Linked DNA regions of Elephas maximus indicus. The protein of the gene in region 2 purifies or fractionates together with the protein of the main gene of each other region. This does not show direct contact. Links are inferred from orthologs where the notes say so. Each region holds a gene or a part of one and is shown on either strand. Other genes may lie near its edges.

Region 1 (7,794 bases), on a different chromosome or scaffold from region 2:
TGAAATTGATATTTGTCATTTACTGATTGGTACATTAACATTTGTTGAGCATTTGTTATAAATTTAGTAGTGTCCTTTAGTTGGAAAGGAGCCTAGTGGCACAGTGGTTAAGTGCTCAGCTGCTAACCAAAAGGTCTGCAGTTCTAACCTACCAACTGCTCTGTGGGAGAAAGATGTGGCACTGTGCTTCTGTAAAGATTACAGCCTTGGAGACCCTATGAGGCAGTTTTACTCTGTCCTAGAGGGTTGCTGTGAGTCAGGCAGAATTGACTCGATGGCAGAGGGTTTGATTTTTTAGTTTTTGATGAGTTGGAAGAAAAAAAAAAGTTACTCTGATGTTAACGATTGGATGTTTCCAGATTGGTAAATATAACAAAAATTAAAAAAAAAACTTTTAAGTAAAAGCAAAAACAAAAAAAAATGCATTAATCATGATATTGTCTATCTCCACACCAAGGAGTCAGCAGCCCTGTTGTAACCCTGCGTCTGCTCTGGCATGTTAGCTTGTAACCCTGGGCAAGTCATTCAGTCCCTCTGAAAATAGTTTCTCGTGTTTAAAAATCAGGGATAACAGTATTTGCCCTGCTTATCATAAATTTATTGTTAAGTTTAAAATGAGACAGCAGCTATGAAAGCGCTCAGAAAATTATTCATGATACAAATATGAAGTGTTATTTAACATTTGTGGATACATGTGTTTATGGCTCTCTGATGCCATATTTTTGTATTAACTGAGGTTGCCTTTTAGTGTACCTACTGAGTTAGATGACTGCTATGCATTAGAAATACAGCTACTTTTCTCAAGAAGCTCACTTTACCAGCCAAAGGGAGCAAGAGACAATTAGAACAGAGTGGTGTGTGTCGTTCTGGTCCTTTGATTTGTTGCTAGTTCTAGCAGGTAATTGAAATGTGTAGGTCACTGAGATATCATAGAAACTGTGGCTATAGTTAAGCACTCGGCTGCTAACCAAAAGGTCGGCAGTTCGAATCCACCCGCTGCTCCTTGGAAATCCTGTGGAGCAGTTCTCTTCTGTCCAGTAGGGTCACTGTGAATCGGAATCGACTTGACAGCAGCGGGTTTGGTTTTTGGTTATAGCTGTTGGTGGAGTGAGACGTGATTCTCCAGCAGTGACTGGCCTGTGCACTGTGATGTCATTCTACCTTTATTCTCCTGTAGCGTTCACAGCTAAATTAGGGACACATCCTTTTCTTAGCAAATTCTCCTGGGAAATGGAAGGAGACGGCGCAGTTAGAAATCTAAGCAGAAACCATTTCTTGTCATCTGGAAAAGTTTTACAATATAACTGATATTTGCTTTTGAGAAAGAGGTGGCTTATAGACCCTCTTTTTCAGCCAGTTTAATACCGAGAACTATAAGCTGTAGTAGTGGCTTGGTGGGTCGTGGTGGTGGTGTGGACAGTGTTGGAATGTTTCAGAGTGGTATGCCTTTAAGAAGATTTTACCCACCAGTGCAAAAGTTGGTGCCTCTGTTCACCGACCTAAAGTTCTATATGCACACATCTAGCCACCAAGGATTTAGCAGACTGCTTTGTCTTGAGTGGAGATGCTGTGCTTCTCAGGTTTAATGGTCTCTAGCCTTCAAAGCTCTAGTCAGTGGTTAGGGTTACTCAGAGCCCACCCACACCATGTATGCAATCACATTGTTTTCTGTGTGTGCAAATAATAATAACCAAAATATCTCAGAATGTGGGCCATAAGCTTCCATCTAATCCTGAGACATTATCCTTTTAATTCCAGAATATGAAATTCTATAGGCCTTGCATAGGTTCCTGCTATAAGGGGCTACCTCTAAGCTTCTACTCTCTAGCTCTTTCTCACCTGAGTGAGGGCTGAGGCTTTTCTTTTGGCAACTGCTGGGCTAAAGGCCTACATTTTACCCCAGGTTCCCCAGGCTCCACATGGCAACTCCTGGGCTAAGGGCCTACATTTTACCCCAGGCTCCCTAGGCTCCACATGGCAGCTACTGGGGTAAGGGCCTACATTTTACCCCAGGTTCCTCAGGCTCCACATGGCAGCTGCTGGGGCAAGGGCCTACATTTTATCCTAGGTCCCTCAGGCTCCACATGGCAGCTGCTGGGCTAAGGGCCTACGTTTTACCCTAGGTTCACCAGGCTCCACATGGCAGCTGCTGTGATGGTTCTACAGATCCTGTACGATCCCAGACCTCAGCCCACAGTGCAGGCTGTTCAACCTCTCTAGAATTTAAACTCAGACTGGGTTTCTAGGAAATGCATGTATTTCTCTTACCTTTCCTTGGCTGGGTTCCTTTCTCCAAAATTTTCAAGCATCACTCCTTCTTATCCAGCTGCAGTGTTTTTTAATATTTCTTTACAAGTAGCAGCTGGATCAACTTAAGTTAAAAAAATAACACAAAACCTGAAAGGCAGTGTTGGGCAGTCAGAGTGACTGCATGACCGTCCATCCACTCAGCCTTCTCTCTGGTTCTTTAGTGCTGAGTCTGCCTGACATGAGCCCAAGAGGTCAGAAGAAATGTACAGTTGTGGTCCTCACATTCTGGAAGCTTTAAAATCTAGTTAGGGGACATGAAACTAATGCTTACAGCGAAGCTTACCAATGAGAAGACATTCATCTGGTCACATACATGGGTTCATAATTTTATATTAACTGTCAGGGGAGCTTTGCTTATTGACTGGACACTTTAGGCCAGAGACACGAGTGGTTAGATCTCTTTTGACTAGTCGTCTAAAAATAATCTGTTCTTTGAGTCGTTAGACCTCTAACTTAACCCAAAAAGGAAAGCTGAAGTCACTTGAAGGCAAAGTAAAAAGATTGACTGTTTCTTCTATAAAGAAAAAGGATGATAGGAGAATATTTGCAGAAGTCTGTATAATCGTAAGGGAGGCTATATGAAACCAAAATAACATGAACTTTATCGCTAACTTTGTAACTACTGTACACTTTCTAAAATATAGTACTATCTCATTCTTGTCAGAACTATAATAAATTCCCATATTTCTAGTTTGTCAAGTCTTAACTAATTAAAAACACTGTTCAGAAAATTGTGATTGAAAGCAGATTTATCGTAAGCAGTTTTTTAAAAAAAAAACAAGGTACAAGTATATGTTTTATATGTTTGCTTTTGCTTAGGAAAAAAACTTACTTAGAAAAATACAGCTTGGGTGTAGTACCATGTGGTATAAACAACGGAACTATTTTACTTTTCACTTTCCTATGAATGAGCCAGTATATATTTATTACTGGAGTTCCAACTATAAAATTCAGGTAAGGGGTTTAAATATACCCTAGAGTATTATTTAAAAATAAATTTGTTTCTTTCAAGTAGAATACCAACCTTGGTCAACGACATTTGGGGGAAAAATTAAAATATTAAACTTTTATTACCTAGTAAACTGAAAATAAATGAAAGGTTAAATAAATACAAAACAGAAAAAAAAGCATATGTACAAAAATCACAACATCTAAGAGGACAAACAGTCTACTGTTTTCCGTGGTAGGAGCTTTATCGGTAGTAGTAAGTAATTCCACCTCGAGGGCAGTGCTTGGTACTCAAAAATGTAAACAAATATGCACTTTGTTTATCTAAAGAAATATGCAGCGTGGCTTGTATTTCTTCGGCGATATCTAACAGCTAGAAGGATGGTTTCAAAGCACCAGCAGGGGCCAGCAAAGGGCTCTTCCAGTTCTTCAGAACAGAATTGGCGCTGAGATATGTTTATTTGATGTGTTAAATCTTTTTTAGACTTCTTTCTTACCACAGCCCTCTCTTAGCTGAATGAATTGCAGAGACAGTGGAATAAAATATTCTATGTGCTCCAGCTATATGGGCGTATAGTTTTTCTGCCTAATCTGCATGTATTTTTAATGGAATGTTTGCTTAGCCTATTTCTTGGCAGAGTTTTAATAGTCAAAATATAAATGGCATCGTTTAAAGACTGTGCTACTTGGCTGGAAAAGGCCTTAAGATTACAGGAGAAAATGCTTGGTGACAGTTTCTCTTAAACTTTTTTTCCCTCGGTCCCATGCTCAATGTTTGTAGTAGTATTACTATGCTAATTTTGTAGTTCTGTTCCTTACAGTTTCAGCTTTTATAACTAGCAATTGGAAGCTAAACTGTTTGTCTATTTGATTTAATGGTAAAGTTTTATTTCACCCCAAAGTTTTCGTATTTCCAAATTTTGAACTGTTTGAACTTACCATGTAAAAAAATTAACTGTATATATTCCCTTCTACATTAACTTGATCGGATTCCTAGTATGGCAACTATTTGGAAATTCAATCCTTGATTTGATACTCAATTACATGAGGTTTCATTCCTACCAACTTCCTGTAATTCTATACCTACGGGTAAAAATATTAGTGGCCAAAGTCGGCCGGAGAAAGTACAGGCACAGTGGTTCCAATCGTTAAATGTGCATTTAGTAGAGCTGGAGGGAAAACATACTGTTTCAGCTTGAAATGCTAGGAGATTGTTGTTCCTGTGTTACTCACTCATGCAAATTGGAGAAGGTATAATTGAAACAAGGTTGGCAGTGTTTGAGTCAGTGTGCTGCTGCTGAGCTGAGCTGAGCTTAAAGGTCGCTGGAAATCAAGTGCTTTGTGAGTGAAGGCGTTTTGACTACAAGCGATTCAAGACATTTTGGAAACGTCATTCTCAGGACTGGGTCGTCTTTTTCTTTCTGTGATATCTGGTATCTAGCGTTTTACTAAGGGTGAAGGCTGCTGCTTAAGACTCTTTCAGATACCACAAATGATTTTTTCTTTCGATGCAGTGCAGCTGCTTCTAGCCTGTCTACGGCCAGAGATCTTTGTTATGACTTTCAGCCCTTAACATGCTTGGAAATGAGAACAAATGGCACAAAGCTTACGATTGCACTTTGCAGCCAGAAGAAGCAATACTTACCCTTTGTCAGAAAGCTCCGGAGATGATTTGGAGAGCAATGTTCACATGTGCTTCAGGAGACCTACACGGATTTCAGCGTCTAACGTGGTTCAGATGAAGCTGACTCCCCGACAGGCTGCACTGGCTCCTTTAGTAAAGTCTCAGGAAAGATCGTCTGAAAATGTTAATAAAAAGAGCAGCTGTCTACAGATTTCACTACAGCCAGCAAGGTACAGTGGATGTCTTCAGTCTAGCAATGTCTTAACCGATGGTAATGACGCCTCCCTTACTTGTGTCTTGAAGGAAGGCATTGACAGCAATACTGTGGTTGATCATGAACTGAGTGCTGTTTGTAGTGGTAGCCTTAGTAACTTTTTAGCCAGTGATAACGGGTCTTACAGCAGCAATGGTAGTGATTATGGGTCGTGTACAAGCATCACGAGTGGAGGCTCATACACTAACAGTGTCATCAGTGACAGCAGTAGCTGTACTTTTCCACCAAGCGATGATCCTTTTTTTGGTGGAAACTTATCTTCTGAGACCACGTCCAGTAGGAGTGTGCCAGACAGGAACCCTACTCCATGTGACGTTTTCTCAAGAAGTATGAGCACAGTTCCCTTTGTCCAGGATGACCTGGACCATGGGATAGAGATTATGAAGTTGCCGGTGAGCAGGAACTCCAAAATTCCACTGAAACGTTGTTCCTCCTTAGTTGTTTTTCCTAGGAGTCCTTCAAATACCCCACCAACTTCTCCAACAAGTACAGGCACTCTTTCAAGCAAAGGATCCTATCAGACTTCACACCAGTTTATTATTTCTCCCAGTGAAATTGCGCACACTGAAGATGGTACTGCTGCTAAGGGATTTCTTTCAACGGCTGTCAATGGACTGCGGTTATCGAAAACAACTTGTGCTCCTGGAGAAGGGAGAGACATAAGGCCACTTCACAAAAAGGGCTCGTTACAAAAGAAAATGGTTATTTCAAGTAATAGTCCAAAGCAGACTGTCTGCGAAGAGTCACCCGATGGATATTCTTGTGTTTCAGTGCATTTCACCCAACAGAAAGCAACTACGTTTGATTGTGAAGCAGCAAACGGTGACTGTCAACCAGAGATGTCAGAAATGAACCGAAATTCCGATACAGAGTATACTAAGCTCACGCATAGGACATCTGCTTGTCTACAACCCAACCAAAGTACCGATTATCAAATAAATATCAGTGGACAGTTGGAAAGACCAAATTCACAGACAAACAAAAACCATGCTACTTTACAGAGGAGCATTTCACTGGGAGGAACTTATCCAAACGTTTCCTGTTTATCCAGCCTTAAGCACAGTTGTTCCAAGGGGGGACCATCTCAATTACACATAAAGTTTGCCACTGGAAATGTAGGTAAAGTTAGTGATTTATCCAGAGACGGCAACAGAGATGTCACAGATGAACCATCTCATTCTTTGAAGCATTCTCGAAAGGTACGTTTCCTTGGTCTTAGTAAATGTTAATTTATACTAGAATAACTTAAAGAAATATTTGGCTAAAATTTGCTATAACTTAACCCAGAACCCAGTGCCGTCGAGTTATAACTTAGCAGTTTTACGTAATTCCTTGGTTCTTAACTAGCAAGTATTTTGTAGTAATGAACTTTGTATTTGAAAATCTGAGGAACTCCCTAATAGTATTCCACTCCATTTGTTATTTTGCCAATGTAAAAATTATATACATTAGAAAAAAAAAAACTTTCCTAAGTGATTTAAGCCATAAACATTTCTGTAGTATTAAAATAAGCTTTGAACAATAATTTATTTCATAACATTTTGTCTTGATATGTTTTCCTTCAAGTGACATGGTATTTTCATATCTAACTTCATATTCTATCCTTACTTTAGAAAAGGATCATTTAATTTTCTCCCCTCCTTAGTCATTATGAAATAAAGTAGAATGTAAAATGCTTATTTAAAATACTAAATGATAAAAACCCACATAAAGATGTGAAGATCTTGTTATTAATGAACACAGAGGAAATGTTTCTTTAAAATGTTTGTATTTATTAGATCATTGATAAAAACTATGATGTTGCATGCTTAGCACAGAGGAAGAGTAAGTGGCGTTTGCATTTGTATATACCCTTAACCACAGGAATTTTGTTTCCACCCTATTTTTCTTTAGCCACCAGTTTAGACTGCTTTCTAAAATGTAACTCAATATTTCAACAGAATTAAATTCTAAATTTTATACTTAAAAATTTTTTTGATTGCTAGGCATTTCCCAGAATTTTCTAGTTACCTTATTAATAATTTTGTTGTTTTGATATTTTTGCTTTATTATATTAGTAATTTAACTCAATTGAATCTTAACCCAAACATTTCCTGCTACAATTTGACTTTCTGAAGTGTTTCAAACTTAAATTTTTTGAATTTCTATATTTGGAAGGTCTTGCCAGATTCTAGGACATTTAAAAAATTATGTGACTAAACCAGTTCTGGATGTCGGTATGCAAAAAGTAAGCTTATCTGTTTATTACTGTGTTTATATAACGTCCGATGTATTAAGGGTTTTAAAAACAAAACAACTGGTCAAATAGCTTTAGGTAAATAAAATACTAGGTAATTGTTAGTTTTCTGTTTTGAAATTTGGTAAATATAGTCGTTGTTGCCCAGTGCCCAGATGCCAATACAAGCAACTTATTTTACAGAGGATAAAAAGATGAGATTTCAAATTCTGATCTATGCTTTATAATTATTAATTCCATTTAGAAAACTTTTTAAAAACTAGTTTTTAGGAGATTATAAGCCATTCAGCTGTTTTCTCCCCAAAAGAAAGCAGTGAAGTGATATTATGGATAAACAGATTAATAGTTTTCTAATTGAATTACATGCTGCTGATAAATTAATTTTACACTTAATGAAATAAT
Region 2 (7,838 bases):
TATCGAGAAGGCCCCTCTCTCCTGTAAGCTACAAACCAGAGGCTGTGGGACAATGACTCTTAAGATTTTTAGAAGCCCTTTTGTATGTCTTCAAGGGCCTAGGGGGACCCGGAAATATTTCAGAGGTTTTAGCAAGGGATATTATAGCCACACGCTTGATTTTTACCCCTGAGGTTGTATTTTAATGCCAGTACCCTGAATTTGATATTTACTCTGAGGCCATTTCTTAAGAACCTTTCGCTACCTGGAGGGGCTGAGAGTGAGGGTGCTTTTTTTCCCCTCCCCAACTCAACAAGACCTGTGTTGGAACTCTTTAACTTCTGCTTGAACTTTTCCTTTTTTAATTCATCTCTCTTGTCTTTCTCCCACTTTATCATGAACGGCTGAAAGAAGCCAACTGGCCCTTTGAAACTTCTGCTAGGGAATCTCCTTAATCAGCCCACAAGTTAATTAGGTACATTTTCTGTCTTCCATGTTACCAGTCTGTATTAGTTATTTAGTGCTGCTATAACAGAAACACCCGCAAGTGGATGTTTATTCTTTCACAGGTTAGGAGGCTAAAAATCTAAATTCAGGACACTAGCTTTAGGGGAAGGCTTTCTCTGTCGGCTCTGGGGGAAGGTCCTTGTTTCCTTTCAACATCTGTGGGCCCAGCATTCCTTAGAGATCTCCACGTGTCTTAGCATCAATCTTTCTGAGTCTAGGAGGTTCATGGTACAGGTACCCTGGTCCAAAGGACACACTCTACTCCTGGCTCTTCTTTCTTGCTGGTAGTGAGGTCCCTCTCTTCTCTACTCCCTTCTCTCTCCTTTTATCTTATAAAAGATGTGACTCAAGCAAGGGTGTGACTTTAGCACAGGCAAGTGACTCAAGATACAGCCCACGCTAATCCTGCCTCATTAACATAGAGTGGTTTAGGATTTAACAATACTGGGAATCATGGCCTAACCAAGTTGACATATATTTTTCTGGGACACGATTCAATCCATGACACAGTCTCACCAATTTTTCCACCAAGAGATAACATGGTTCACTGTTTCTCCAGCCTACAGTAGCAGGCTCATGGACCTTCCAGCACCCTCCTGCTGCCTGGCCCGAAAGTCAATGCTACATTTAATATTTTGTTATGGTAGTTTCTCACTTGTAAGTACCAATTTCTATTTCAGTTTTTATCACTGCATAGCAAGCTACTCTAAAATTTAGTAGCTGTCTTAGTTATCTAGTGCTGCTATAACAGAAATACCATAAGTGGATGGCTTTAACAAAGAACAGCCCCATAGAGTTTCCAAGGAGCTCCTGGTGGATTTGAACTGCTGACCTTTTGGTTAGCAGCTGTAGCTCTTAAACCACTATGCCACCAGGGTTTCCTCTCACAGTCTAGGAGGCTAGAAATCCAAATTCAGGGGCATAGGGATTGGAGAAAGACTCATTAACAACCTGTGTTATGCAGATGATACAACCTTCCTTGCTGAAAGTGAAGAAGACTTGAAGCACTTACTGATGAAGATCAAAGACCACAGCCTTCAGTATGGATTACACCTCAACATAAAGAAAACAAAAATCCTCACAACTGGACCAGTGAGCAACATCATGATAAATGGAGAAAAGACTGAAGTTGTCAAGGATTTCATATTACTTGGATCCACAATCAACAGCCATGGAAGCAGCAGTCAAGAAAAAAAAAGACACATTGCATTGGGTAAATCTGCTGCAAGAGACCTCTTCAAAGTGCTGAAGAACAAAGATGTCACCTTGAAGACTAAGGTGCGCCTGACCCAAGCCATGGCAGTTTCAATCGCTTCATGTGCGTGTGAAAGCTGGACAATGAATAAGGAAGACTGAAGAAGAATTGATGCCTTTGAATTGTGGTGTTGGCGAAGAATATTGAATATACCACGGGCTGCAGAAAGAACGAACAAATCTGTCTTAGAAGAAGTACAGCCAGAGTGCTCCTTAGAGGCAAGGATGGCGAGACTGCATCTTATATACTTTGGACATGTTGTCAGGAGGCATGAGTCCCTGGAGAAGAACATCATGCTTGGCAGAGTACAGGGTCAGCAGAAAAGAGGAAGACCCTCAATGAGGTGGATTGACACAGTGGCTGCAACAATGAGCTCAAACATAACAACGATTGTAAGGATGGTGCAGGACTGGGCGGTGTTCCGTTCTGTTGCCTAGGGTCGCTATGAGTTGGAACCAACTTGAGGGCACCTAACAACAACAGCTCCAGGGGAAGTCTTTCTGTTTCTTATTGGCTCTGGGGGAAGGTCCTTCTCATCAGTCTTCCCCTGGACTAGGAGCTTCTCATCACAGGTACTCCAGGTCCAAAGAATGTGCAGTACTCCTGGCTGTGCTTTCTTGGTGGTATGAGGTGCCGATGTCTCTGCTTGATTCTCTGTTTTATATATCAAAAGAGATTGGCTTAAGACAAGATCTAATCTTGTAGATTGCGTCTTGCCTCATTAACATCAAAGAAGTAGGATTTACAACACAGAGGAAAATCACACCAGATGAGAAAACGGTGGACAATCACACAATACTGGAAATCATGATCTAGCCGAGCTACTAATCGCTAAGCCACCAGGGTTTCCACTTTGGAAGAGTGGAAGTGAATTCCCCCGGCTGAGTGTCCTTCTCTACTGATAAGCTTCCTGCGCAAAGCAAGCTGAGAAAAAATTCTACAGAAGTAGTTTAAAAGACTTGGGTTGTTAGTAAACAAAGAGTATTCCAGCCCAACTTTTGGAGTCAGTAGACCTCTATCAGCAGGGGTGTTTGTTTTAGATTCTCTTTGATTTGCATGGTTCTATTTTTCCAAACCAAGATGAGTTTCATTATGTATAATCTTCATAATGACCAATATTATTCAGCTCTGACGAAAAAACAAAACTACAAAAAAACAGAATGACAAAATATATGTAAAACTTAAACAACTGTTTTGCTTAAGCAATTCACTTAGTACCCTATCAGACTCAAATTTTGGAGAGCCTTTATGTGTTCTGAAGGAAAACAAAGTAAGGATTAATCATGTAGCCTAGAGTAGTAACTGATGAGGGAAGGCCTTAACTAGGGCCAGGAGCCGGAGGGACAGGGCGCCCAATATATTCTGCAGAAACATGTTTTGCACATATGAATAAATGTGCAGTTGCATTTAAAACACAAACAAAAACAAACCAGATTCTGGTCCTCCTTGTCTCAAAGCCATCCGCACCATCCCCCCATGTGGCAGCGAGGTCATCTGTCCCTACAGCTTCGGACCCCGGCGCCCTCCCTGCCCCCGGGCTTGGCACTTGCTGCTCAGGTGCGCCCATAGCTTCAGGGCTGGATCCTCCAAGGCTAGGCAGCGCGGTGCACACAGCAGGCTCGGCTGGCACACCTGCGGGACAAGCGACCTCAAAGCCTCTGGCAAGAGGGGGACGCTGGCCAAGAGTCAGTAGGGCGCCCGGACAGGGGTCCGCCGGGGAGCGGAGGAAGGGTCAGCGAGGTGCCGGGGCTGGGGTCGCCGGGGAGCGGGGTAAGGGTCGGCGAGGTGCCCGGGGAGGGGTCTGCCGGGGAGCGGGGTGGGGTCGCCGGGGAGCGGGGTAAGGGTCGGCGAGGTGCCCGGAGTGGGGTCGCCGGGGAGCGGGGTAAGGGTCGGCGAGGTGTCCGGGGTGGGGTCGCAGGGCCTCCCGCGGTGGGGTCGCCGGGGAGCGGGGTAAGGGTCGGCGAGGTGCCCGGGGTGGGGTCGCCAGGGAGCGGGGTAAGGGTCGGCGAGGTGCCCGGAGTGGGGTCGCCGGGGAGCGGGGTAAGGGTCGGCGAGGTGCCGGGGGTGGGGTCGCAGGGCCTCCTGGGGTGGGGTCGCCGGGGAGCGGGGTAAGGGTCGGCGAGGTGCCGGGGGTGGGGTCGCAGGGCCTCCCGCGGTGGGGTCGCCGGGGAGCGGGGTAAGGGTCGGCGAGGTGCCCGGGGTGGGGTCGCCAGGGAGCGGGGTAAGGGTCGGCGAGGTGCCCGGGGTGGGGTCGCCGGGGAGCGGGGTAAGGGTCGGCGAGGTGCCCGGAGTGGGGTCGCAGGGCCTCCCGCGGTGGGGTCGCCGGGGAGCGGGGTAAGGGTCGGCGAGGTGTCCGGGGTGGGGTCGCAGGGCCTCCCGCGGTGGGGTCGCCGGGGAGCGGGGTAAGGGTCGGCGAGGTGCCCGGAGTGGGGTCGCCGGGGAGCGGGGTAAGGGTCGGCGAGGTGCCCGGGGTGGGGTCGCCAGGGAGCGGGGTAAGGGTCGGCGAGGTGCCCGGGGGCGCGGTTACGGGGTCGCCCGAGGGAGAGGTCCGCGGGCGTCAGGGCCGGGGCGGCGATCGCGGATCCCGGCGGCCCGTCCTCCCCCGCGCGCGGCGTCCTCTGGACACCCCCGGCCTTCCGTGACGCGCTTCCGTCTATTCTCGCGGGGCCCGGGGCGGGGCGCGAGGGTCCCGAGCGGCAGCTGGGGAGGGGCGGGCGGCGCACGCCGGCTGCGGCCGCGGGGAGGCTCCAGTTGCGCAGCTCGGGGCGCGTCTGGGGCCGAGAGCCGAGCGTACGCCCCGCCCCGCGGCCCCGCCCCGGGTCCCGCCCAGCGACCCCGCCCCCAGCGGCCCCGCCCCCGACAGGTGAGCCGGCCGCGCCTCCCGGGGCAGCAGGGGGCGCCCGTGCGCCCAACCCCGCCAGCCGCGCCGGACGCAAAGCTGCTGAGCTCGGCCCGGGCCGGGGGCGGGTCGGCGGGCGGGCGGGCGGGCGGCGGGGCGGCGGCCTCGGAGCGCTGCCGGGCGGCGGGCTGTAGTGCGCTGCCGGCCCGGCGCGGGCTCGCAGCATGGGGCGCCTGCAGCTCTTCGAGATCCGCCTGAGCCATGGCCGCGTCGTCTACAGCCCGGGGGAGCCGCTGGTCGGGGCCGTGTGCGTGCGCCTGGGCGCGCCTCTGCCCTTCCGAGGTGGGCACCGGCCGGCGGGGCTGCGGGGGTCCCCTCGCGGGTGGGCCGGGCGGCCTCAGGTGGTCGCGTCCGCACCTGGGGCGGCTGGGCGGGGCGCCCGGGACCCCGGAAGCGGCGGCGGTGCCTGCCGGCCGGGGACGCGCGTTGCGGATGCGCCGCCCTGCCCCGGCCTGAGCGCCAGCCGGGGGGACGGCTCGGGTGTGGCCGGCCGCCCCGCGCAGACCGCCGGGTGTTTGGCCGGGGGCTGCCGCCAGGCGGGGCGGGGCGGGGAGACCCCGGTGGCCCAGCCCGCCGCATCTGCCTCTTCCTCTCCTTGCTGCCCGGGGGCGGCCAGAGCCGCGGGCTGGGGTGTGGAGGCTCCCCATCTGGCCTAAGGTCACTCTGATTCATTTCCGCTTGGGGTTTCCCTGTCGGGGCACTTAAGGTCTGCTGCCACCCGCATCTTTTGGGCCTCCTCACCTGTAACCTGGCTCACTCTCCGGCTCCCTAGCCTGCCCGCCCAGGATCTTGCTCAGGCCCCTCTTTTCCAGGACAGTCCTGCCCCGAATGTGCGGCCTCCCGCAGGGCCCTCCTTGACTCCTGCCCTGGCTTCCCCTGCCAACTGGGAGGACCTCGCCCATGCCCACCTCCCCCTGGCCTCTGGCGCAGCCTGGCACCAGGGAGCTGAACCTGAGCCCTCCAGGCCAGTCCCTGTGGCGGTGCTGTCTCCTCTTTCACAGACATCTGGGACTTTGGGACTAGGGATTGGGTTGCCGCGGCAGCCCTTGCTAGGGCTCTTGGAGGTGCTGGCCTTGTTTGCCCATCCAAACTGCGGCCCTGTACCAGGCCCTGAGGGCAGGGTGGGCAGAGCTGCCGCCAAGAGGGTGCACCTGTGGCCCTGGCTGCCTGATTCTGGCCTGAGCCGAGGGTAGCTTGGGCATCCCTGCATGGCTCTCTCCACCTTCACTTACTCTCAGAGCCTCCTGGGGCAGTTGGCCCATCTGGACCTCCGTGTGGCCCTTGCCACCATGTGGTGTGAGGCTCCCAGCCCTGTTGGGTCTCGTCGTTATGATCTGATGTCTCCCTAACTACTTCCCTGGCAGGAGTTGGGAGTTTGGGGTGGCAGTTACCACAGGGCCAGAGGCAGTGGGGCTACCCGCTGGGGCGCACGCACAAGGGCACATGCACAGAGCCATGCCAGGTGAGATCTGGGGGATGGGAGTGGAAGGCTCTTGGCTGACCACAGTCAAGGGGCCATCTGGGCCCTGTGTGGGGTCCTGGGGTAGGGTGAAGGTGAATTACTTGGGGCCACAGAAAGCTGCAAAAGTGGCAGCCGGTGCTCTCTGAGTGGGGGAGGAGGAGGAGGACTCCCAATCGGGCCAGAAACCTGATTATTTCGGCTACAGAAGACCCGGTGGAGCACCAGGTGCTGAGGCCACTTCGGACTTCCTCTGATACTTCCTGGTATGCAAAGGGGAGGGCCACCTGTTTTTCCCTCATTCGCTTGATGCCTCTTGAGCGCCTGCTCAGTGCCAGTGAGGTCGTGGTGAGGCCCTCTGTCCCAGGAGAAACATCAAGGAAGGGAGAGCCGGATGCCTGCAGGGTGGGGGCTCCGAGTTGCTCACTAAATGCTTGTTGAATGAATGGCCCTGATGGTGCTGCAGAAGGAGTTGCTCTTGGAGCCCAGGCCAGACCCTACCCAAGGTTGGTAGTTGGTCAGGTGGGGGCTGCCCAAATTCTGGCTCTCGGGGTGGGCAAGGGAGGATGCCCCCAGCACCGCCAGTCTTCCCCGAGCTCCCTTCGTGGGACACTTGCTATTCTACCCACTCTCCATGTTTGGGTAATTAATCCTCATCGCTACCTGGGAGGTGGGAGGACTGGGTCAAGAGGAAAGCAGGTGTTCCAGGAGCAACTCTTGTGACACAAGCAACATCGAGATCAAAAGAGTCAGAGTGATGGCAAACCTTTCAGAAAGGCTGCAGCGCTCTCCACCAACAGACACCTGCCGGGTTGGTGCAATCTCTCGTGATAACCCTATACTGTCAGGGAACACTTAAAGGCTAGATGGCGTGGCTCGGTGCGAGGACGCCGCGTGCCTCCTGGAGCAGATGCTTAACTCCCTTTGCTGGGTAGGGGCAACAGGGCTGCAGGGTCACTAGTGAAGAGTGACTTAACCGTTATCATCAAAAAGGCAGAGGAAGTCTGGCTCTTCGATGCAGTAACTGCCACTGAATCGCCCAGTCCTGCCACCACCCCTGAAGGACAGTTTACTGGGGTCTCAGGCCTGGTTTCCTGCCCCCTTTGCCACCACCCTCAGCAGAGTGGCTGGTTTTCTTAGGCCAGCTGTGTCATCCTGAAGAGGCTGCAGTAGTCCCTGGCATCTAGTCTCCAAAATCTGTGTTCCCCCTAAGAGCAAAGACCCCTCCTAAAACCTCCGATAGGTCCCCCTCATTTCTTGAGCAGGACCATGTTGCAGGAACCCGATTAATCCAGCGGTTTGGGCAGGGAAAACTGTGGCCACTGCAATGGACCCAGAGCAGTGAAAACTGACTCCCTGGGGATTCTCCCAGGCTGACCTGAGGAAGCAGCAGGCCTTCTGTGGGAAAGACCTTTGCCTTTGCCCTACACCCCCCCATTTTTCCCCTAGCAGGGGAGAGAGGACAGCAGGGCAGGTTCCACCACAGGACAACAGGTAGGGCTGCTTGTTCAGCAGGGTGTCCCGTAGGACCTTGGTGTGTGTGTAAAACGGGGCTCTTGGCATGGGGGTTTGGCATGTTGGTGTTTTTATCTGGTTGGCTTTTCTGGGGTCAGGTGCGCATAACTCATTTACCTGATGCTGGGAGCTGGGTCCTCTGCTATTGGTGGACACCCGGGTATACCTAGCTTGTTGGTGTCACAGTGGTGGTGTGTGTGGCTCTGTGGGTGAATGGGTATGAT
Region 3 (7,782 bases), on a different chromosome or scaffold from region 2:
AAGCTCAGAAATCATGTAATACATTTTCTCTTTTAAAATTTGCTTCTTTTCTCCAGGGATTATCTCTGAAACTTAGATGGCACTTGGGTATGCTATGCCACAAGGAGATAAAATGCGGGACATGATGGACCCCATATTCCAGCTTGAGCCAGGCAAGGAAGAGTGAATATCAATCTTTATTAAGAATACAGCAGCAAGAATTTTTAAAGCCACAGGAATTTGGAAGAAGGGAAAGTTCATAATAAGACACAAAAGTGAAAAGTGGTTTGCTGGAATCACTGGGACCTCAAGGGATGAGAAGACTATATATATATATATATATACACACACACACACACATGCACACACATACACACACATACATGTACATATATATACACATACCTACATATACATATGTAATAGATATGTATATATATACATATTTATTTAGCAAGCTTTGAGATGTAATTCACATACCATATAATTCACCCATTCATAGTGTACAATTCAATGCTTTTTTTGAATATTCAGTGTTATGCAATTATAACTATAATCAATTTTAAAACATTTTTATCACTCTAAAAAGAAACCACTTATCCTTTAGCTATCTTGCCCCAATCCCCACTTCCCAAGTCCTAGGCAACAACTAATCTATTTTCTGTCTCTATAGATTTGCCTGTTCAGGACATTTCATATAAATGGTATCATGTGTGATCTTTTGTGACTAGCGTCTTTTACTTAGTATAATGGTTTCAAGGTTCATCCATGTCTAGCATGTATCAGAACTTCATTCCTTTTTATGGCTAAATAATATTTAATTATATAGCTATTCTACAGTTTATCCATTTATCAGTTTATGGACATGTGGGTTGTTTTCAATTATGAATAATGCTTTTTGCAATTATGAATAATGCTATGAACATTCTAATATTTAAAGGTACTTTACGTAAAATTAAGCAACATTTTTATTTAAATTTTGAGCATGCATTGAGTATACTGTACCAGTGGTGGCAACAAATTAAATTATGACATAAACACATTTTTTTTTTTTTTGTAGTTCTAAACTCTCAACTAAAACTTATCCTTAATATCATTGCAGCAAATCTGTGAATGTTTTCATGGACATATGGACCTGAACGAAGAAATTAAAAAAAAAAAAAACTACTGTGATTGCTATCGCTGTTGCTAATCAATTATAAAAACAGCAAAAATGCCAGGGTATTGGTAGCAGTATAACCAACCTACCAGTTACTGATGAGTCTATTTCTACTCATGGTGATCCCATCTGTATCAGAGTGGAATTGTGCTCCATGGGATTTTTTATGTCTGATTTTTGAGAGGAGTCCCTAGGTGGCGCAAATGGTTAAACACTTGACTAGTAGTTGAAAAGCTGGTGGTTCTAATCTCCTAAGAGGCACCTCAGAAGAAAGGCCTGGTGATCTGCTTCCAAAAGTTCACAGCCTTGAAAACACTATGGAGCAGTTCTACTCCACACACAGGGTTGTCATGAGCGGTAATCGACTCCAGCAACCAACAACAGAGAACCAGATGCCTTGGTAACATTAACCATTTTCACCAGCAGTATAAAGTTTTCTCAAATTGAACAGCATGTGGCCACTCAATCTATCATTTAAGTCTATGACAGAGTTTATTTTATAGAATCTTGTGCCAGTTATCTAGTGCTACTGTAACAGAAATACCACACACGGATGGTTTTAACAAACAGAAATTTATTTTATCACAGCTTTTTATGAGGCTAGAAGTCCGAATTCAGAGCGCCAGCTCTCAGGGAAGGCTTTCTCTCTGTCGGCTCTGGAGGAAGGCCTTTGTCTCTTTTGAACTTTGTTCCAGGGTAGTCAAGCTGGCTTGACATCTGTTCCTGGATGATGAAGGTGGCTTGGCATCTGTTTCCCCATCTCTGCATCTTTTGATTGCTTGTTTAATCTCTTTTATATCTCAAAAGAGATTGGCTCTTAAAAGCTAGCAAGCGGCCATCTAAGATGCATCAATTGGTCCCAAAGCACCTGGAGCAAACAACAGTGAAGAACACCAAAGACATCAAGAAAATATTAGCCCAAAAGACAGAAAGGGCCACACAAACCAGAACCTCCATCAGCCTGAGACCAGAAGAACTAGATGATGCCCAGCTACCACCAATGACTGCCCTGACAGGGAACACAACAGAGAGTCCCTGACAGTGCAGGAGAAAAGTGTGGGGCAGAATTCAGATTCACGTAAAATGACCAGACTTAACGGTCTGACTGAGACTGAAAGGACTCCGGAAGACATGGCCCTTGGGCTCTTTGTTAGCTGAAAACTAAAGTCATTCCCGAAGTCAACTCTTCAGACCAAGATTAGACCGGACTATAAGACATAAAATGATACTCGTGAAGAGTGTGCTTCTTAAAATGATACTCGTGAAGAGTGTGCTTCTTAGTTCAAGTAGATAAAGGAGACTAAACGGGCAGCTCCTGTCCAGAGGCAAGGTGAGAAGGCAGAAAGGGACAAGAGCCTGTTGAATGGACACAGGAAATCCAGGGTGGAAAGGAGGAGTGTGCTGTCACATTATAGGGAAAACAACTAGGGTCACGTAACAATGTGTATAAACTTTTGTATGAGACACTAACTTGAACTGTAAACTTTCACTTAAAGCACAATTAAAAAAAAAAAAAAGAGAGAGATTGGCTCAAGACACACCCTACACTAATCCTGTCTCATTAACAAAGACAACCCATTCCCAAATGGGATTATAAACACCGGCACAGAGGTGAGATTTACAACACATATTTTTTGCGGGACACAGTTCAATCCATAACAAATTCTTCCTACTACAAACTCAGTGAGCTGAAGCTATGCAATAGTACATGGTAACGGAAAAGGGATGGTGTTAAGTTTTTTTTCACTGAATTATTACAGTATTGCCTTGAACTTATTTAAATAGTGAGAGGATGTTTCTGTTGTGAAGTTGATGTAAATTATGTCAAGGTAAAACAGTATTGTGTAATATAAGATTTACAACGATATTTTATTTTATTGAAAAACGAAAATTTTACAATTGCAAGAAATTTATCTGCAGAAAAAAGATACTATTGTATAAAAGCTGTGCGCAAATATGAGTTGTGGATTTTGGCAATTAAAAAAAAAGAGCAGTATACTTACGGTATTTTGTCCCGGGTGTAAGGACTACTTAATAGTCTATAGTCTCACATTAATTTGTATTCATAATGAGCTAACGAATGTGAATTTCTAGATTATGCTCTGTAAATGGCACTTATTATTAGACTTTACACATCAGTCTTTATAGAGTCCTTCATGGATGATTAACTTCATTAAAAACTCCATGTTATCACAAATGCACTTTAAATTGTAACATCACATCTCCATTTATTAACAGGCGGCGGCGTCAGGCAGTCCTACAATTGGGAAGCCTTACCATCTATCCATTTATTTCCCCAACACCATCAGTTGCAATCCCACTAACAACCGCTAGGGTGAGACGACAGAGGCATGTTTTTAATCGCTACGTGGAATCTTGCCCAACGTACAGCACCATTATGTCCGCCCAAGATGCAGGTGTAGACGATGAACAAAAAAGAGAGCCCATCGTCGACGGGATCTGCGCTCAATCTACGCAGGGTGAACGGCGGCCTGCGTCTTGCCTCCGGCTGCTGGGCGAGGGGCGCCTCCCGCAGGGCTGATGGCCCAGGTGTGGCGAAGCGATGGCGCTTCCACCAACCTTGAGGACCAGGAGACCGTGGAAGGCTGTTGGGAGGATGGGTGGAGGCTGGGGGAGGCCACTTGACAGAGGCTGCGAGGGAGGAAGTCGGCAGCGCAAAAGGACACGCAGGGTTAAGTGGAGCCCCTCCAACAAGGGAGCCTAGCTCCAGGGGAGCCCGCAGTTTCCTCCATCTTGGTTGATGGAGGCGGGAGCGGCGTCTGGGTCCTTCCACCAGCGCGCCTGCCCTCCTCGGCCCCTCAGGGGCCGACCCTCGAGGCAGGGGCGGCTACCCCGGCCGAAAGGTGGAGCCCAGGTGGGAGTTCTCGGGAACGAGCTCCCTAGCCCCACGGGGCTTGGCGTTGAACTAGTCCCAAGTTCCCACAGCGTCCCGACAAAATGGAGGACGTCGTCTCCTCCTGCTGCAGCCATGACGAGAGTGGAGGACTCTGCCCCACGGGGCGAGGCGAGGGTGGAAGGGTTCCCACTCTTCTCGGAGTACCCAGGACCCCACCACGCCCTCGGCCTGTGTTCCTCATTCGGCCTGGCGCCAGGTTTTCCCCACCGTGCCCCTCGCCTGCAGGGGCTCCAAGGAAAGGACTGGTAGGGCGTTCGGGGCATCGAGGCTGGGTCTCTCCTCGGGCAGAGTCGTTCTGGGCCGCTATAGCGGCCTGCGTGCCCAGGCCCGAGCGACGGAGGACAGCTCCAGCCTCGGTCTCTCGGGCTGTCCTTGGCTTTGGGAGCCCGTTAGTGCCCCCGAGAGCCAGCCCGCAGCTGGTGCAGAGGGGGCATCGAGGCTTGGGACCGCCTGACCCAGACGGCCCCAGTGGAATGGGGGCGGGATACAGAGGGGAGGGGACAGCCCGGGAAGGGACGGGGCGGTGGGGAGTGGAATGGAAAGGCTGAGGGGTGTGGCCTGTGTCTGATGGACAGCCCTTTGGACCACCTCATCGAGGGGGGTCCTGAAGGAAGGCAGATCGAGCCAATTGACGTGCCGGGAGTGCCGCGGCCCGTCTTCACCGCCAGCCAATGAGGGTGCGGAGGCGGGGCCTCCACGGGCTCGGCAGTGCCGCCACCGCCTCCTCCTCCTCCTCCTCACCAGCGCTAAACCCGGGACTGGACCGAGCGGAGTTGTGCTTGTTATCGAAGGGGGGTGGGCCGGGGGAGGGGAGGTTCGCTCCGCGGAGCCGCAGCCAGAACCGGGTGAGGCTTGCCCCACTGTCTTCCAGTCCAGGTCCGCTGATAATGGGGGTGGCTGGGAGCAGCGCAGCCTCCGAAGGAGGAGGCGGAGGCGGAGGCGGCTGGGGAGGCGGAGATGGGTGAGGGCAGTCTCCGGAGCCTCCCACCCACCCGGGATTAATGCCCAGCGGCGCGGTCACCGTCGCCGCTGCCGCGCAGGGGCCTCGGGGGCTCCTCCGGGAGCCGCTCATGTCACCGGCGCCTCTCCGGGCGGCCCGAAGGGCGGCAAGGGCGAGGCCGAGGCCGGGAGGGCTGGGTGAGGCGGGGGTCGCTCGGGGCGGGGGTGGCCCGGGGCTGCGGCCGTGGGGAGGTCGCTGAGGTATTTTTCCTTTCTTTCCTGCGGGGGTAGGCGGGGGAGGGGCGCCTCTGTTCGCGCTCCCGCTCTCCGGGCTGCGCTCCCAGCCTCTTCCGTAGCCAGCGGTCCCCAAGTTTTCGGGGCGAAGGCTGCCGCCTCCTCCCTGCCGGGTCCCCGCTTTGCTCAGCTCCTCACTGGCGCTGTGCTGCGCCGCTCTCGGTCCTCACGTATTGTTTGGCTGGGTCTCTAATGGCGGACGAGGAGGCAGCGCTGCCGGTCGCCGACTGCAGGGGGGGCAAACCTTAGGCCCAGGGCAACTGCTTGGGGCAGATATGGGGATTATCGGCCCCGTGGAGACGTGAATTCCTCCCCCCGCCCCTTACCTCGGAATTGGTTCCTAGAGTGTCGTGGAAGATGCTGGGTGGGCAAATTTAGGGGGGGGGAATACACAATCCCCTCCTGGCGTCGGGGCTACGTCGTGCCCTTCCCCCCTTCTTTCCCCAGGAGCAAGCTTGGTGCCCTCCAGCACCCCCTTCTAGATTTTGCCTTCAACGTGGTTTTTAACCCCAATATGTATTTTACGTCGTGTGCTGCACTTTACATAGGAGGGTACCGTGGGGTGTGGGGTGGAGGGTAATAATAAAAGGGCCGAACATCCTTGACCTCTTATTCCCTTCTCTGCCTCCTCCTGGTGAAAAGGGTTTGGTGCTACCACCTGGTTGGCTGTTCTTGATCTATATTTCATCTTTCCTCTTACCCAGGACCAGAAATCGCCTCAACCCTGTTTGGTGCATCTTTGGTGGAAAGTAAGGAGGAGAACATTCCCATTGTGAGTCCTTTACCCCGAATTTGTTGATTTTTAGTGGACGTCGTCACGTTGTAGAGTTCAGTAGTGGGGTTTGCCCCTCCCCGTTGCTTTGAGGGGGAGGGGCTTTCCCTTGGATGGCAGCTGCCCCCGGGGCAAAGCCCGGGTGATGGCTGGTAGGGCAGCTTGCAGTGGGCGCTGCTGTTTGCATCGCTGCAGACATTGCTCCTGCTGCAATACCAACCTCAGCAACCAGACGATGGGTTCCTGCAGCTGCTCTCCTTACCCAGGAGGAGGGGTGCTGGGAAGGAGGGCATATTTCTGGTGCCCTCTAGAGTTCCAGAGTGGGAGTTGAAGTTATTTCTTTTTAACATTTTTTCTCCCTTTGCGATGGATAATTGATTTAAGGGATTAGAAAAATTAAACGACTTAATTTTTTGTTTGTGTCTGATTCTCCTTTTACAATCAGTGATGGAAAGGATTAGAAAAATAGAAACATTAATTTTTGTTTCTGATTTGAGAAACAAATTTTGAGTCTTTGGGTTCATGAGTTGTTAGATCTCATTCATGTCTTAGGTTTATGGAAAAGGGCACGAAGCCTACTTCTTATACTCTCAGTTGTCTATCTAATATGTGGATTTGTCTTCACTTAAGAGTCGTTCTTAAATGTGTTAACTGAGAATTACCATCTAATGCTTGTAATTTATTAAGGCAGTACTGTAATCAGCTAGACAGTAAGATAAAAACCTGTCAAATTTTCTTTCATTCAGCTGAAACTAGTAACAAGCTATCAGTGAAGTCAGCACTCTGGACATATTGTATTTTGTGAGCCCATTGAGAGTTGATACCATTATAACTTGCAGATCTCTGTCTTCTTGGTCATAAGTGTGGTAACTTATGCTTAAGTATTAAGTCCAAAATGATCAGAAGATAGCTAATCCAATGACAAATACATGCTGAATACCGATTATGAAGGATGATGTCAAATGACAACTTACGTTAAATTCTTACTATTCTAGGCACAGTGCAGGACACTGTCATGTATTATCTCCTTTAATCTTTGCAAGTAACCAGCAGAGTAATGAAAATATCATTTATTGAGTGTTATTGTATGCCAGTGCAATTTCAAACTTTTTAAAAAGTTTATTATGGAATCTTAATTTTCTGAGTGAGAGTAGTATACTGAACCTCCATGTGCCCATCACTTTACCTGCATTGTAAAATGATCAACACATGCCTACATTCATTTTTTAACATGTATTAAGTAATTTATCCTCATGAAAACTGGTGAGGTATATACTGTTTTCTCTTCCTGAACTGCAGAGGAGGGAATATACTCAGCTCTTTGGAGCTTGGCTGTTAACCAAAAAGTTGGCAGTTTGAATCCACCAGCCGCTCCTTGGAAACTCCATGGGACAGTTCTGCTCTGTCCTGTAGGGTCACTATGGGTCGGAATTGACATGGTGGCAATGGGTTTTCTGGTTAATAGTGTTTGGTAGAGCAAGGATTTGTACTTAAACAATTTGATTACAGAACTGAGGCTAAGTAGCCATGGTAGACTACTTTAAAGAACTTAATATACTTTTTTTTTTTACACATATAGTGAAAAAAACCAGGATTAGAATCTTTTCAGCTTATGTAATTTTACTACTTAGAGAACAATGTGTAAACAAAAATGAAATGCTTGAAGCTTATCGAGTACTCTTTTCTAAAAATAAGAGAACCACAGTTCAATTAGATTTTTTG

Evidence for each region. Proteins that work in one complex are often made in the same cells at the same time.
Region 1: the proteins of ARRDC1 (region 2) and NEDD4 purify together in Homo sapiens (affinity purification with mass spectrometry; 3 studies listed by BioGRID and IntAct, counting the BioPlex papers as one, with this or other methods). This does not show direct contact. The link is inferred for Elephas maximus indicus from reciprocal best matches to the Homo sapiens genes ARRDC1 and NEDD4.
Region 3: the proteins of ARRDC1 (region 2) and ZMYM2 purify together in Homo sapiens (affinity purification with mass spectrometry; 3 studies listed by BioGRID and IntAct, counting the BioPlex papers as one, with this or other methods). This does not show direct contact. The link is inferred for Elephas maximus indicus from reciprocal best matches to the Homo sapiens genes ARRDC1 and ZMYM2.

Annotation. Positions count from the first base shown.
Region 1 is NC_064831.1:46,258,110-46,265,903, reverse strand, and holds the start of NEDD4 (E3 ubiquitin-protein ligase NEDD4), read left to right. Parts: upstream 1-4,774; 5' UTR 4,775-4,852; coding exon 4,853-6,355; intron 6,356-7,794. UniProt on the Homo sapiens protein: E3 ubiquitin-protein ligase which accepts ubiquitin from an E2 ubiquitin-conjugating enzyme in the form of a thioester and then directly transfers the ubiquitin to targeted substrates. Specifically ubiquitinates 'Lys-63' in target proteins.
Region 2 is NC_064827.1:661,536-669,373, reverse strand, and holds the start of ARRDC1 (arrestin domain-containing protein 1), read left to right. Parts: upstream 1-4,922; intron 4,923-4,930; exon of another isoform or gene 4,931-5,452; 5' UTR 5,453-6,856; coding exon 6,857-6,910; intron 6,911-7,471; coding exon 7,472-7,593; intron 7,594-7,838. Other genes in the region: basic proline-rich protein-like, read right to left, coding at 3,391-4,806. UniProt on the Homo sapiens protein: Functions as an adapter recruiting ubiquitin-protein ligases to their specific substrates. Through an ubiquitination-dependent mechanism plays for instance a role in the incorporation of SLC11A2 into extracellular vesicles.
Region 3 is NC_064841.1:49,337,139-49,344,920, forward strand, and holds the start of ZMYM2 (zinc finger MYM-type protein 2), read left to right. Parts: upstream 1-5,453; intron 5,454-5,992; 5' UTR 5,993-6,060; intron 6,061-6,147; coding exon of another isoform or gene 6,148-6,247; intron 6,248-7,782. Other genes in the region: uncharacterized protein LOC126066247, read right to left, coding at 4,039-4,471, 4,718-5,453, 6,148-6,247. UniProt on the Homo sapiens protein: Involved in the negative regulation of transcription.